Oryctolagus cuniculus: one gene and its partner. The protein of the gene in region 2 interacts with the protein of the main gene of each other region in a pairwise test. Links are inferred from orthologs where the notes say so. Each region holds a gene or a part of one and is shown on either strand. Other genes may lie near its edges.

Region 1 (6,002 bases), on a different chromosome or scaffold from region 2:
GGCGTTGCCCAGGTTGCTGTAGGCCCTCCGCTCGGCCGCCTTGTCCCCAAACTCCTTGGCGATGGCCAGGCGCTGCGGGACAGACCAGGGCCCAGGGCCTCACTGAGCGCGCCTGGGGCCCGGCCCCGCGCCCCCGTGTCCGGCGGCCCCCGCCCGCTCACCTCCTTGTGGAAGGCCGTGGCCTCCGCGAAGTTCCCCAGCAAGTACTGGGTGTTGCCCAGGTTGCCGTAGGCCCGGCCCTGGGCCGCGCGGTCACCCAGCTCTTTCACCAGGCTCAGGTTCCTCCTGGGGGCCAAGTCCACCTCAGCGCGTCCTCCCGGCACCGGGACGGGGGGCGCGGCCCCTGCACCCCAGGCAGCAGGCGCCGAGTCGGGGGCAGGGGGCTCCCGGGGGTGGGCCGTCTGAACATCACAGCTGGGGGGCTCCCGGGGGTGGGCCGTCTGAACATCACAGCTGGGGGACTCCCGAGGGTAGGCCGTCTGAATGATGGGGCTCCCGGGGGTGGGCCGTCTGAATGATGGGGCTCCCGGGGGTGGGCTGTCTGAATGATGGGGGCTCCCGGGGCTGGGCTGTCTGAACGGGGTCCGGGGCCCGGCCGCTGCACTCACTCGTAGAACTCGGAGGCCCTGCGCAGTGTCTCGCGGACGGCGGGCGGCAGGTGCCCCGGGTCCTGGGCGGCGTTCCAGGACAGCTGCTTGCCCTTGGCGTGGTACACGTTGCCCATGTTGTACAGAGCCCTGGCCTCCCCGACCTGCGGGCAGCAGGACAGTGTGTGGGCAGGACCTGGGGGGGCCACCTGGGAAGCTCCGCCCTGCAGTGCCCTGGCCACGCCCCCTCCTCTGCCAGGGCCCGGGGGCATCTTCCTCTGATGCCCGTGGGATCCGCTGCCCTTGGGCCTCAGGGAGCGAGGGAGGTCGGCACAGGACAGCAGGCAGCACAGCGGGGCCCATGGCCCGCCCCCTGCACGTTTGCCTGGCTTCCTCCCAGAGCCCCCGTCCCCCGCTGCAGGCCCCGGATGTCCCCAGCCGGGCAGGGCCAGGCTGCTGGCGGAGACCCAAGAACTTGAGTGGGACGGCGCCACCTCCTGGGCCCTGCGGGCAGTGACTGCGGTCATCCGGATTCCAGGGCAGTCAGCGGAGCGTGGGAGGGGCGGGGCCTGGCCCGGCAGCGCCGGCAGGAGCCGGGGTGCCCTGTGTGTCCAGGGGCTGCTGCTCCCCCAGGCCACTCGTCCCTGACTGCCCACCCCCGACCCAGGCCACAGGCAGGGGCGGCGGGGCCGACACCGACCTTGTCCCCCTGCTCCTGGGCGATGGCCAGGTGCCGCTGGCAGCACACGATGGCCTCGTCGAAGCGGCCCAACACCTTGAGTGTGTTGCCCAGGTTCCCGCTGGCCTTGGCCTCGCCCATGCGGTCGCCGATGGTCCTGGGAGCAGGGAGCAGTGAGGGGCTGGGCTGCAGGGGAGACAGCTGCCGCGTGCCCACCGGGAACACACCCAGCCCCGTACCGAGGTACCGACGGGCACACAAGGCTCCCGTCCGGGAGGCCAGGGCGGCTTCAGGGCCTGGAGGAGGAGGGGCGGGGGGGCGCCCCTGCAGGGCCCGGCAAGGGGCTGCGGGAGGAGGCCCAGGGGCTAGGGGCTCCGGGGAGGGAGGCAGAGCCCCAGGCCAGGCGTGCGCACGGCCTCTGGGGGGCGCTGCAGGGCACACAGAGGCACACACAGGGAACTCCGGGAGCCGGCCGCCAGCTCGTGTGCGGGGTGGGCGCGGCGCGGCGTGCCGGCACTCACCGGGCCAGCAGCAGGTCGTGCTTGTGGTACTCCAGCGCCCGGGCGAACTCCCTCAGGTAGAAGTAGGCGTTGCCCAGCTGGCTGTAGATGGCACTCAGCGTCTTGAGGTCCTCGGTGCCCACCTGCACGGCCGCCTCAAAGAAGGCCACGCCGGCCCGGAAGTCCCCGGCCTTGCACAGGCGCTCCCCTTCCAGGGCCAGCTCCAGGCACGAGGCCTCCATCCTGGGCAAGGGCAGAGGGGCGGGTGAGGGACCACCCCGGGACACCGGGGACCAGGGACCACCCGCCGTCCTGCTGGGCCACAGCGGTGACAGGCCCCGCCCGTCGCCCACTGCGACACCAACCGGGAGGGGCTGGGGCCTGGAGGTCACTTCCGGGCAGAGGCGAGGCTGCACCAGGGGTCAGCCGGTCCCCACCGGGACCCCCGCCCCGCAGAGCTGAGGCGGCTCGCTGCGGCCGGCCGGGAAGGGCTGCGCGCCCGCGGCAGGCTGGGCCACAGAAGCCCTCGCTCTCGGGCCCTGCAAAGCCCCCTACCCCGGCGGGGTCTCCAGCGCCTGCTGACTGCGCCCTCGGGACACGGCCATCAGGGCAGCGGGCAGTGAGGCTGCCCTGGCCCCACAGGCGCTCCGCGGAGGCACACGGCCCGGCCCCCAGCCCCGTGACCGGCAGGCGGCAGCTGGCCCCTCACTCCTGCCTTCTCTCCAGCGCTCTGGACGCGGTCGGAGTTTGCAGGAAACGCAGGGTGCTGCCCAGCGTCCCCACCAGAGCCCCGCCCCCTGCCCCACAGCGAGGGGGTGTGGCCACCGAGTGACAGTGGGGGCACGAGAAGAGGGGCTTCCTCTCTTACTCGGGGCGGTTTCTCAGGGCCCCACACTTCAGCCCACTCCCCACGCGGCCATGTCCACGTTTGCAGGGTACTGGGGTCACCTGGACGTGGAAGGGCCGGCGGCCCCAGCCCCCTGCACCCCCAGGCTCAGGGCCTCCTGCTGGGGAGCCCCCCCGGCTCCCAGCCCACCACAGCCCCCTGCACTCTGAGCTCTGTTCTGTCCCTCCTCCCCCAGGAACCAGGGCCGGCCCCTGCCCCGCCACCCTTCCTGACCGGGGGCCTGGTGCTCAGGGGGTGTCCCCGACCCCACGAGGCTCTCCAGGACAGGGGGCGGCCTGGGTCCTCGGGATGGCGGGCACATGGAGGAGAGGCCTGCTCCAAACGGCCTATGCCGAGCCCCGCCGGCAGCCCGGGTGGCTCCCACCTGCCTGTCACGGGGAGTCGCCCCCTCCCGGGCAGTCGGGGCACAGCGCCCGCACAGTCACGGCTCAGGGTATGCACGGTGACACAGGCGGCCCTGGTGACCGCCCGGGCAGAGCTCAGAATCCACCAACCCCTGCCCCTAGTCCAGCAGAGGCCAGGCCCTCAGGCCACCCACGACCTGCCTGGCTCCTCGCCACGCTCCCCGGGGAGGGCTTCCGGCTGCCACGCCCACGCAAACCACGAGAGCAGCCACACGAGAGCCCACTCCTGCGGCTGGCCTGCTTGGTCCCTGCCCAGCCCCCACCCCGCACCCCTCCCCACCCAGAGCTGTGGCATCGGCCGCCTGGACGTCCAAGGGGGTGCACTGGCGGTCACCAACACGCCTGCCCGAAGCTGGGCCAGGAGCTGACCGCCGTGGGGACCCCCTGGAGGGGAACCAGGCAGGGTGTCCTGCCCCCTGCAGGGTTCCCAGGACGGCAGCGGACCCCGCCCCGGCCCTGCAGCCCCCCAGCCCAGCGCCGCACCTGGTCCTGTGCAGGTTTCGCATCTTCTGCACGTACAGCCATAGCTCCAGGCCCACGGGCAGCAGCAGCGGGCGGGGGCGGGGGGCCCCATACACCACCTTGCACACGGCCTTCTCTGCCGGGCTCAGGGCCACGGGCTGGGCCTCCAGGGCGGAGGCCTCCCTGCGGACCGTGGCCATGGGCCCCTGCGCCCCCCCGCCTCCCGGGTGGGGGGCTGAGCGCTCGGCCACCGTGGTTCTGGGGCAGCCAGGGCCTCTGGCCTGGGCCGTGGGGCGTGAGGGATCAGGAGCTGGATCAGCACCGTCAGCAGCCGGGCTGGGCGGGCGGCCAGGCCGTAATCCTGATCCAGCCTCCCGGGGGCTGGGCTGGGCAGGGCGGGGGGACCCGGACCTCCCGGCCACCGCTCTCCCCCTGCACAAGCCCAGGCCGTGCGGGACCCCGGGGGTCTGCCCGCAGCCGGTGCCGGGCGGCTTCTGAGCCTGTCCCGCCTGGCCCGGTCTCCAGGAGCGCCCTCCCAGGGCTGGGCGGTGCTGGCCCGGCCCCTCCACTGCTATCTCAAGGCCCCCAGGGTCTCACCGGCCCCCTGGGGACCCCAGCCCGGCTTGTCCTGCTGTGGCCTCTGTGGCACCAGCTCCCAGCACACGGCACGGGGCAGCCTCCACAGACACGGAACACGGAGTCCAGGCCGAGCCGCCCCGTGCGCCCCGTGCGCGCCGTGCCTCGCCTGATGTCTGCGGTGAGCTCCAGGGCCCGGGGTCTCCCCAGGGGGCGGGACACACAGGCTGGGAGTGGGGGGCTTGGGAGGAGACTCCCAGCGCCCGTCCTCCCACCTGCCAGGGCCCAGACACCCCTCAGCTGAGTGTGACCCCAACCCCGGGCTGCTGGGGCAGGTGCAGCGCCCAGCCGTGAGCAGGCAGGCAGGGCGCCCAGTGCACAGCCCCTCGGGCGAGTCACCGGTGCGGAATCGGAGCCTCCCCTAGGGGCCTCCTCTACCACCCCTCCCCTACAGCGCCAACCCCACCCTGGGGACGCCACTGCGCAGCCATCGGCCCTGGTTGGAGGTGTGCACGGGGGGGGGGGGGTGGCGTCCTGGGGTGAGCAGGAGCTGGAGAATGGGGGCGGGGGCTCTGCTCAGACAGCAACCCAAGCACGGCCCCGGACGCTCCCCTCCCTGTCCTGGGGCGCTCAGTGAGGCCAGCCCACGTGTCCACCCCCAGGACAGCTTGGCCGGGGCCTGGCCACTGAGACGCTGAACCCCAGATCCTCCTAGGATCTGCACCCATTGGCGGAGAAGATTCCGGAACCTGTGCCCCACGCCACCTGCCTAGGTCTACCAGCTTTGCAGGCTGTCAGTCCCCCAGCTGGTTGTCTGGGCACTGGGGACCCCGCCCTGCAGGACGGCCCAGGGTGCCCGTGGCCTCTAGGATTGGGGTCCGGCACGGAGGGCTCGGGCCCCCTGCGGGGGTGGGGGCGCCTTTGCCGGACACACACGGCTTCATGGACAGACAGCCCTCGCCCTCCCCTCCCCTGCAGCCTGCCTCGGGTGCCCTGGGACTGCCTGGCCTGGCCCCGCTCCAGCCTAGGTCCCGGAGGAGGCAGACTGTGGCGGCAGGAGACAGGTGCTTCTGCCCGTGTCCCGGGCAGCAAAGCGGTGAGCGGCTCCCTGGTGGCCAGCCCCGCTGCTGTGGCCACCACGTCTTGCCCGCACCTCTCCAGGCAGGGAGAAGCCATGCCTGGGCCGCACCCACCTGTTCTCCAGCCCCAGCCCCGGCCGCTGCCCTGTCTGGCCTCCGGACCCCGACTGCCTGGCCCCCCAGACTCCTGGCTCCCAATCCAGCCCCAGCTCCCACCCCTGCTAACAGCCGAATCCGCACCCTCACCCAGCTGTCACCTCCACTCTGGCCCCAGGGCAGGCACCCAGGAGAGCCCTGCTCACCACTGGCTCCAACTCCCCCGGGCCCCGTCCAGCCAGCCCCAGAGAGAACAAAGTCACAGACCCGCCTCCCGTGGCCGGGGCAGGGAGAAGGCAGGGGCAGGACAGGGCCAGGGGTGGCGGAGACCAGGGGGACGCGGGGGTCACTCCAGCTTCAGGGCAGTGAGGCAGGGGTGGCCAGGTCACCGTGCCTGGGGACGCACCTGGGCGGGGGACCACAAGAGGGTGGGGGCGGCCCGGCACGTGGCCACGGGAGCCTCCTGCCCCACACCTGAGGGCGCCAGTGCCCGCCGCTTGGGGTGCACCTCTGAGGCGGGCCCAGGGGCTCCTCCGCCCCCTCCCAGGGTCCGCTCACAGGCACATGCCTGACTCCCGGGCCGTGTGGCACAAGGGTCCCTCCGGCCCCCGCCTGTGAGACCGAACTCTGCTCTCTGGGCAGGACGATGGCATTGGGGGGGGGGCAGCACAGAGACCAGCGGGAACCCACCCCCCTACCCAGGAGCCGCCGG
Region 2 (6,002 bases):
AATCAATTGTTCAATATGTGTATTGTCCAAAAACGTGTGTGTGTGTGTGCACACACACTCACCCTTTCAAAATAGTTACTCTAAAATGATATAACGTAGTTACTCCTGTTATTATCCTTTATTCTTTTACATCAAATTCCTTCAATTATTAGCACTGATATTCTGAATTGATACAGTTCATTTGTATGCAGTTGTATATAGAATACAGTTTATTTTTATATGCTCAGTAGTGTGGTGTTCATACCAATCAAGATTCTATAACCCTCAAATTAGAGAACAAATGTTCACAGAAAATCTTGAATGGAATAAAAGTAAGAAAGACTTGTGTATAGACAGTGCCCAAATCCAATAGTACTCAGTATTTCATTTTGGCTAATTTCCCTGGCTATCTCCTACATAGATCTTAATTCTAGAATACTTTGCAAAATATATCACAATAAACTTTTACTTGCGTCCCCAAATAATACCGTTTGTTTTCCAAAGACTCTATTTCCTGTGGCCTTGACATGGTCTCACTGCTGTGTCTGCGTTTTCCTTTTAGATAGAGGAACTGGAGAAGCAGCTAGTCCTTGCCAGCTCAGAGCTAACGGAAGCACGCAGCGAACGTGACCAGTTCAGTCAGGAGTCCGGAAACCTGGACGATCAGCTTCAAAAGCTGTTGGTAAGACTGTGCGCTCAGATGCGGATGAGACTGATTCTGGGAAGGCTTTCACCAAGCTAGTTTCATTTATGAAAGGGCAGATGGTACACAGTGTTTGTACACACAGTAGACCATCCTAGACCCTGCTCAAGTTTTGCTCATAAAGATATTCTGTGTACTTCCTCTTTTATTCTCAGCAGCGCTGTTAAGGTGTTAGATAAGAAGGAGATCGGGCCGGTGCTGTGACGCAACAGGTTAAAGCCCCAGCCTGCAGTGCCGACATCCCATATGGGTTCTGGTTCGTGTCCCGGCTGCTCCTCTTCCAATCCCACTCTCTGCTATGGCCTGGGAAAGCAGTGGAAGATGGCTCAAGTCCTTGGGCCCCTGAACCCCATGTGGGAGACCCGGAGGAAGCTCCTGGCTCCTCGCTTCAGATCAGCTCAGCTCTGGCCATTGCAGTCATTTGGCGAGTGAACCAGAGGAATGAAAGACCTCTCTCTCTTTCTGTCTCTGGCTCCACCTCTCTGTAACTCTGTCTTTCAAATAAATAAAATAAATCTTAAAAAAAAAAAGAGATCTACAGACCACTGCAGACTTTGAGTTAGGTGCTGAAAGTTAGGTACTCAAGCCACGTTAAGTGTATTCCTTGTTCAGCCAAATCACATTGAGAACACATATGAATTCTGTATATAGAAATTCTTACTGGAAGATCGGGGGACACTATTTTACAAAGAAAAAGGCAATGGTGTTGTGACACAGGTTGAGAATTTTCCTGATCCCAAGTACTCGGGACCAGAAGTAGTTTGGACTTTGGATTTTTCAGGTTCTGGAATATTTATTTGCATATACCTAATGAGCTATCTCTGGGGTGGGATCCAAGTGTGAACATGAAATTCATTTATGTTTGAAATGCACCTTCTACATGTAGCTCAAAGGTAATTTTGCACAAAATGTTTAATGCATCTGTGTTTTGCCTGTGGCCCATTCACCACATGAAGTCAGGTGTGGAGGTTTCCACTAGTAACATCATGCTAGTGCTCAAGAATGTTGAGCTCTTTCTTGGAATACTTAGAATTTTCAGATTAAGGAAATACACTACTAGTGAGGATCCTCTTAGAGCTGCTGCATGCTGAGAGCTTTAGGCACCCCTTGATGTGCTCTCAGTGGTACGGCGGAAGTTCCTCTCCCTACCAAACCCTGTTCTAGGACATGGTGCTTCTGACTGGTACAGCCACCCCTCCTAGGCCCCAAAGGGGCTCCAGGGGGTGTGGCGGATGGAGAGCCAACCACCGCGTGTGGACAGCTAAGGGGCTCCGGGGGTGTGGTGGATGGAGAGCCGACCACCGCGTGTGGACAGCTAAGGGGCTGCAGGGGGTGTGGCGGATGGAGAGCCGACCACCGCGTGTGGACAGCTAAGGGGCTCCAGGGGCTGTGGTGGATGGAGAGCTGGCCACTGCGTGTGGACAGCTGTAAGCCTCAGGAGAACCTTCTTTTCTGGACGTGTTGCATATTTCTCAGCATTATCAGGCCTAATTTGAAAATCTTGCAGATCAAGTTTTCCTGGTTAGCACCGTGGCTCCTCAGTACCTTCCCCCAGAGCAGGCTGTCATCTTTCTAGTTCCTAGAAACTCTGGTTTCTCCTCTCCCAGTCTTTCCTGTACATGCTGCCACATTCATCTTTCTGAAATCCAGCCCCGATTACGTCACTCACCCACTCAGAGTACTCCCTCTAAAGTCATGGTCCCTCCCTCTCAAGACTCTGTCCCTGAGCCGGCCTCTGCTTTCCTTTCCAGCCCTTTCTCTCCCACTGCCCCACGCAAATCACACCTGCTCCTTCCTCATCTCTGCACCTCCACATTGTTCTCAAGTGCAACTCAAATGTAACTCATGTCATCCAGAGGCATTTTAATCCTTCAGTTGAGACTCACCCTACTCTGCCTTAGATCTGTCCCTTTAATGAAACTCGCAGCTGTCAAATCTGTGTCTTTCACTCTGACTGAGAGTCCTTTGGAGGGGGCTGTGTCTCCGTTTCTCCTACTCTATGTACAGTTTTTGCTCATAGTAAACCCTGACCGTGAGGTGACTTTCTTCGTAGCCAACTGCTACTCCAGTCCTAGCATTGGCCACTGTTCTGCCATTTCTGAAGCATGGATTGAATTACTGTAGTTATTTAAGTTTTGAGTATGTCCTTACTGCAGAAGCACATTTGATGTGAAGCATGATGTCTGTTAGAAAATTGAAGACTAAGAACAGAATGACCTTGTAAATCTACTGTCTGCTGTACTTTTCTTTTCATTCTATGTTTTTTGAGGTCTGGTCTCTGGAGGTTGACTTACAATGCTCAGAATTTTAAGTATGCAAAATGTTAACTTATTTTTCCAGGGAATAATCACTCCTAATCCAACCATCAATAAAGGAATCAGATTCTGAACTCGAAATTCCGCGAATCACATAAAAACTCCACAGATGACATAAGAAAACAAGAGTTTTACATGAGTGATTTTGCACCAGGGGCACAAAGTGTTTCTTGCCTCTTTTAGGCTGATCTGCACAAGAGAGAGAAGGAGCTGAGTCTGGAGAAGGAGCAGAACAAGCGCCTGTGGGACCGAGACACGGGCAACAGCATCACCATCGACCACCTGCGGCGGGAGCTGGACGACCGCAACATGGAGGTGCAGCGGCTGGAAGCCCTGCTCAAGGCCATGAAGAGCGAGTGCCAGGGCCAGATGGAGCGGCAGGTGAGAGTCCACACACGGGCTTGGGCCTAGCAGAGGCACGGACTCTGCAAGCAGTGTACGAAAAACCGGCATTGCCTTCCGTGGTTCTGATCATTCATCAAGCCAAGCACGTTAGGTTGTATCTCATTTGTGTAGTGTCCCAAAACGAACTCCTGTCCAATTGGCTTTTCATTTTCACTAGAAATTAGGAACATAATCAGAAAAGTATCAAACTTGTCAGGATATCCATGGGGCAGTAGGGTTGAAGATTTCCAGTAGGTGTGTCTTGTTTTCCCTCCAGGCTGATAGAGACTAATGCATGTTCTATTCCAGGACATCAGTAGCAAAATGTGGACTGCTTTCCTTTTTAAAAGTTTACTTATTTGAAAGGGAGAGAGATTAGGAGAGAGAGAGAAAGAAGTATGTCCATCTGCCGGTTCACTCCCCAAATGCTCACAATAGCTAGGTCTAGTCCAGGCTGAACCAGGAGCCAGGGACTCCATGGAAGTCTCCAGTATTGGTGGCAGGAACTCAAGTACTTGGGCTGCCACTGCTGCCTCCCAGTGTGCACATCACCAGGAAGCTGCATGAATTGGAATCAGGCACTCCTATATGGAATGCAGGCATTCCAAGCAGCAGCTTAGCCTACTGCACCGCTATGCCACCCCAAGTAGACTGCCCTCTTAACAGTGTACCATCAGTGTTAGAGGTGGTTCTATCGCCACTTACTACTGCAGGACTACAAGCATCCCACATAACTGTAAGCTCCCCAAAATGTGAAAGCACATCAGCGGGACAGTTGGCTTAGATCGACGCAAGCCCTCTCCCTATGATCTGGTCTAATTTGGGCAGGAAGCATGATGAAAGGAGCAACTGGAAGTTTGAATCTTACTCCGTTTGAAGTGAAGACCACAGGATATGAATATGGGAAAAAGCCATTATTCATTTTTCCCTAGGGTGGAATTAAGGAGATGCTAGGAAGAAAATGGAAAATAAAAGTCGTTGTCTTCACTCCTGCTACTCTTTCCCTCCATCACCAGTGTTATCTCTGTTTAAAGGGGAATAGCAGACATCCTCAGAGGAAACTTCCCAAGCTCCCCACTCTTGGAAACCATCACAGGGAAGTCCTCTCCACCTTGGTCCAGTTAACATTTGTCTGTCTGCCTTATACATGCTGATGATCTAGGATTCTGATAGCAAAACAGTTTGAGGGGCTTGTGTTGTGGTGCAGCAGGGTAAGCCTCCATTCGCAATACCAACATACCTTATCAGAGTGCAGGTCTGGGTCCCAGCTTCCCCACTTCTGATCTGGCTCCTTGCTAATGTACTGGGAAGGCAGCAGAAGGTGGCCCAAGTGCTTGGGCTCCTGCCACCCATGCAGGAAACCAGTATAGATTTCCAGGATCCTGGTTTCAGCCTGGCCCAGCCTGGCTGTAGCGGCTACTTGGGGAGTGAACCAGCAAATGGAAGATCCTCTCCTCACACCCCTGTCTTCACTCTGTTTGCTACTCTGCCTTTCAAATAAATTTAAAAATTTTTTTGAGTTATTCTAACTGGCTGTTATGCCATTTATGATTTTATGCTTTTGAGTTAGCTTGTTAAATTTCTTAAGGTTGCCTATACTTATCCTCTGAAATCCATGAATTCCCTTTTCCTTAACAATCAGATGGCAGCAATTCAGGGAAAGAACGAAAGTCTGGAAAAAGTGTCCTCATTGACTGCGCAACTTGAATCCACCAAGGAGATGCTCCGCAAAGTGGTGGAGGAGCTGACAGCCAAAAAAATGACCCTGGAGAGCTCTGAGAGGACCGTATCGGACCTGACTACTTCCCTCCAGGAAAAGGAGAGAGCCATCGAGGCCACCAACGCAGAGATCACCAAGCTGCGCTCCCGGGTAGACTTGAAGTTGCAGGAGCTCCAGCACCTGAGAACGGAGGGGGACCACCTCAGAAACGTGCAGGCGGAATGTGAGGCCCTCAGGCTGCAGATGACCGAGAAGGACAAGGTGATCGAGATTCTGCGACAGCAGATTGAAAACATGACGCAGCTGGTGGGCCAGCATGGCAGGACTGCGGGTGCTATGCAGGTTGAAAAAGCTCAGCTTGAGAAGGAGATCAATGACCGGAGACTGGAGCTACAGGAATTTAAGGTCAGTAGAATTTGGGGTGGTTTAGCTCCTGAAATACTGCTTTTTTTTCCCCCTATGAATCAAGCTGACCTAATTGATTGAAAACTGGATCCTGGTGTCTGTGAACCCTCGTGTATTTATTTGAAAATATTTATGTCTATATGTGTATTTGTGTTTTTCTGAGAGGGGATCCAGGCTTTTATCAGATTCCAAGAGGAGTGATGGCCCGAAAATGGTTCAGAATCACAAGTAAAAGTAAAAAATTAGAAAATGCAGCTTTTCCAAGTAGTCCTTCCAGATTTCATAGTTGTAAATGTTGCCTCCCTCTCCAGACAGACCCAAGTTTGAACTCACCACTCAGAAGCTGTAAAATTTTGGACTATTCCCTGAATCTTTTTTTTTTTTTTTAAGATTACTTGTTTATTTAAGAGGCAGAGTTATAGACAGAGGGAGAGACTGAGAGAGAGGTCTTCCATCTCCTGATTCACTCCCCAAATAGCTGCAATGGCTGATGCTG

The links.
Region 1: the proteins of CCDC158 (region 2) and GPSM1 interact in a two-hybrid assay, tested with the Homo sapiens proteins (2 studies listed by BioGRID and IntAct). The link is inferred for Oryctolagus cuniculus from reciprocal best matches to the Homo sapiens genes CCDC158 and GPSM1.

What each region holds. Positions count from the first base shown.
Region 1 is NC_091432.1:236,688,605-236,694,606, forward strand, and holds part of GPSM1 (G-protein-signaling modulator 1), read right to left. Parts: exon of another isoform or gene 3,740-6,002; coding exon of another isoform or gene 3,561-3,739; intron 2,010-3,560; coding exon 1,788-2,009; intron 1,424-1,787; coding exon 1,288-1,423; intron 752-1,287; coding exon 609-751; intron 286-608; coding exon 162-285; intron 73-161; coding exon 1-72. UniProt on the Homo sapiens protein: Guanine nucleotide dissociation inhibitor (GDI) which functions as a receptor-independent activator of heterotrimeric G-protein signaling.
Region 2 is NC_091439.1:89,540,259-89,546,260, forward strand, and holds part of CCDC158 (coiled-coil domain-containing protein 158), read left to right. Parts: intron 1-541; coding exon 542-661; intron 662-3,180; coding exon 3,181-3,378; intron 3,379-5,023; coding exon 5,024-5,506; intron 5,507-6,002.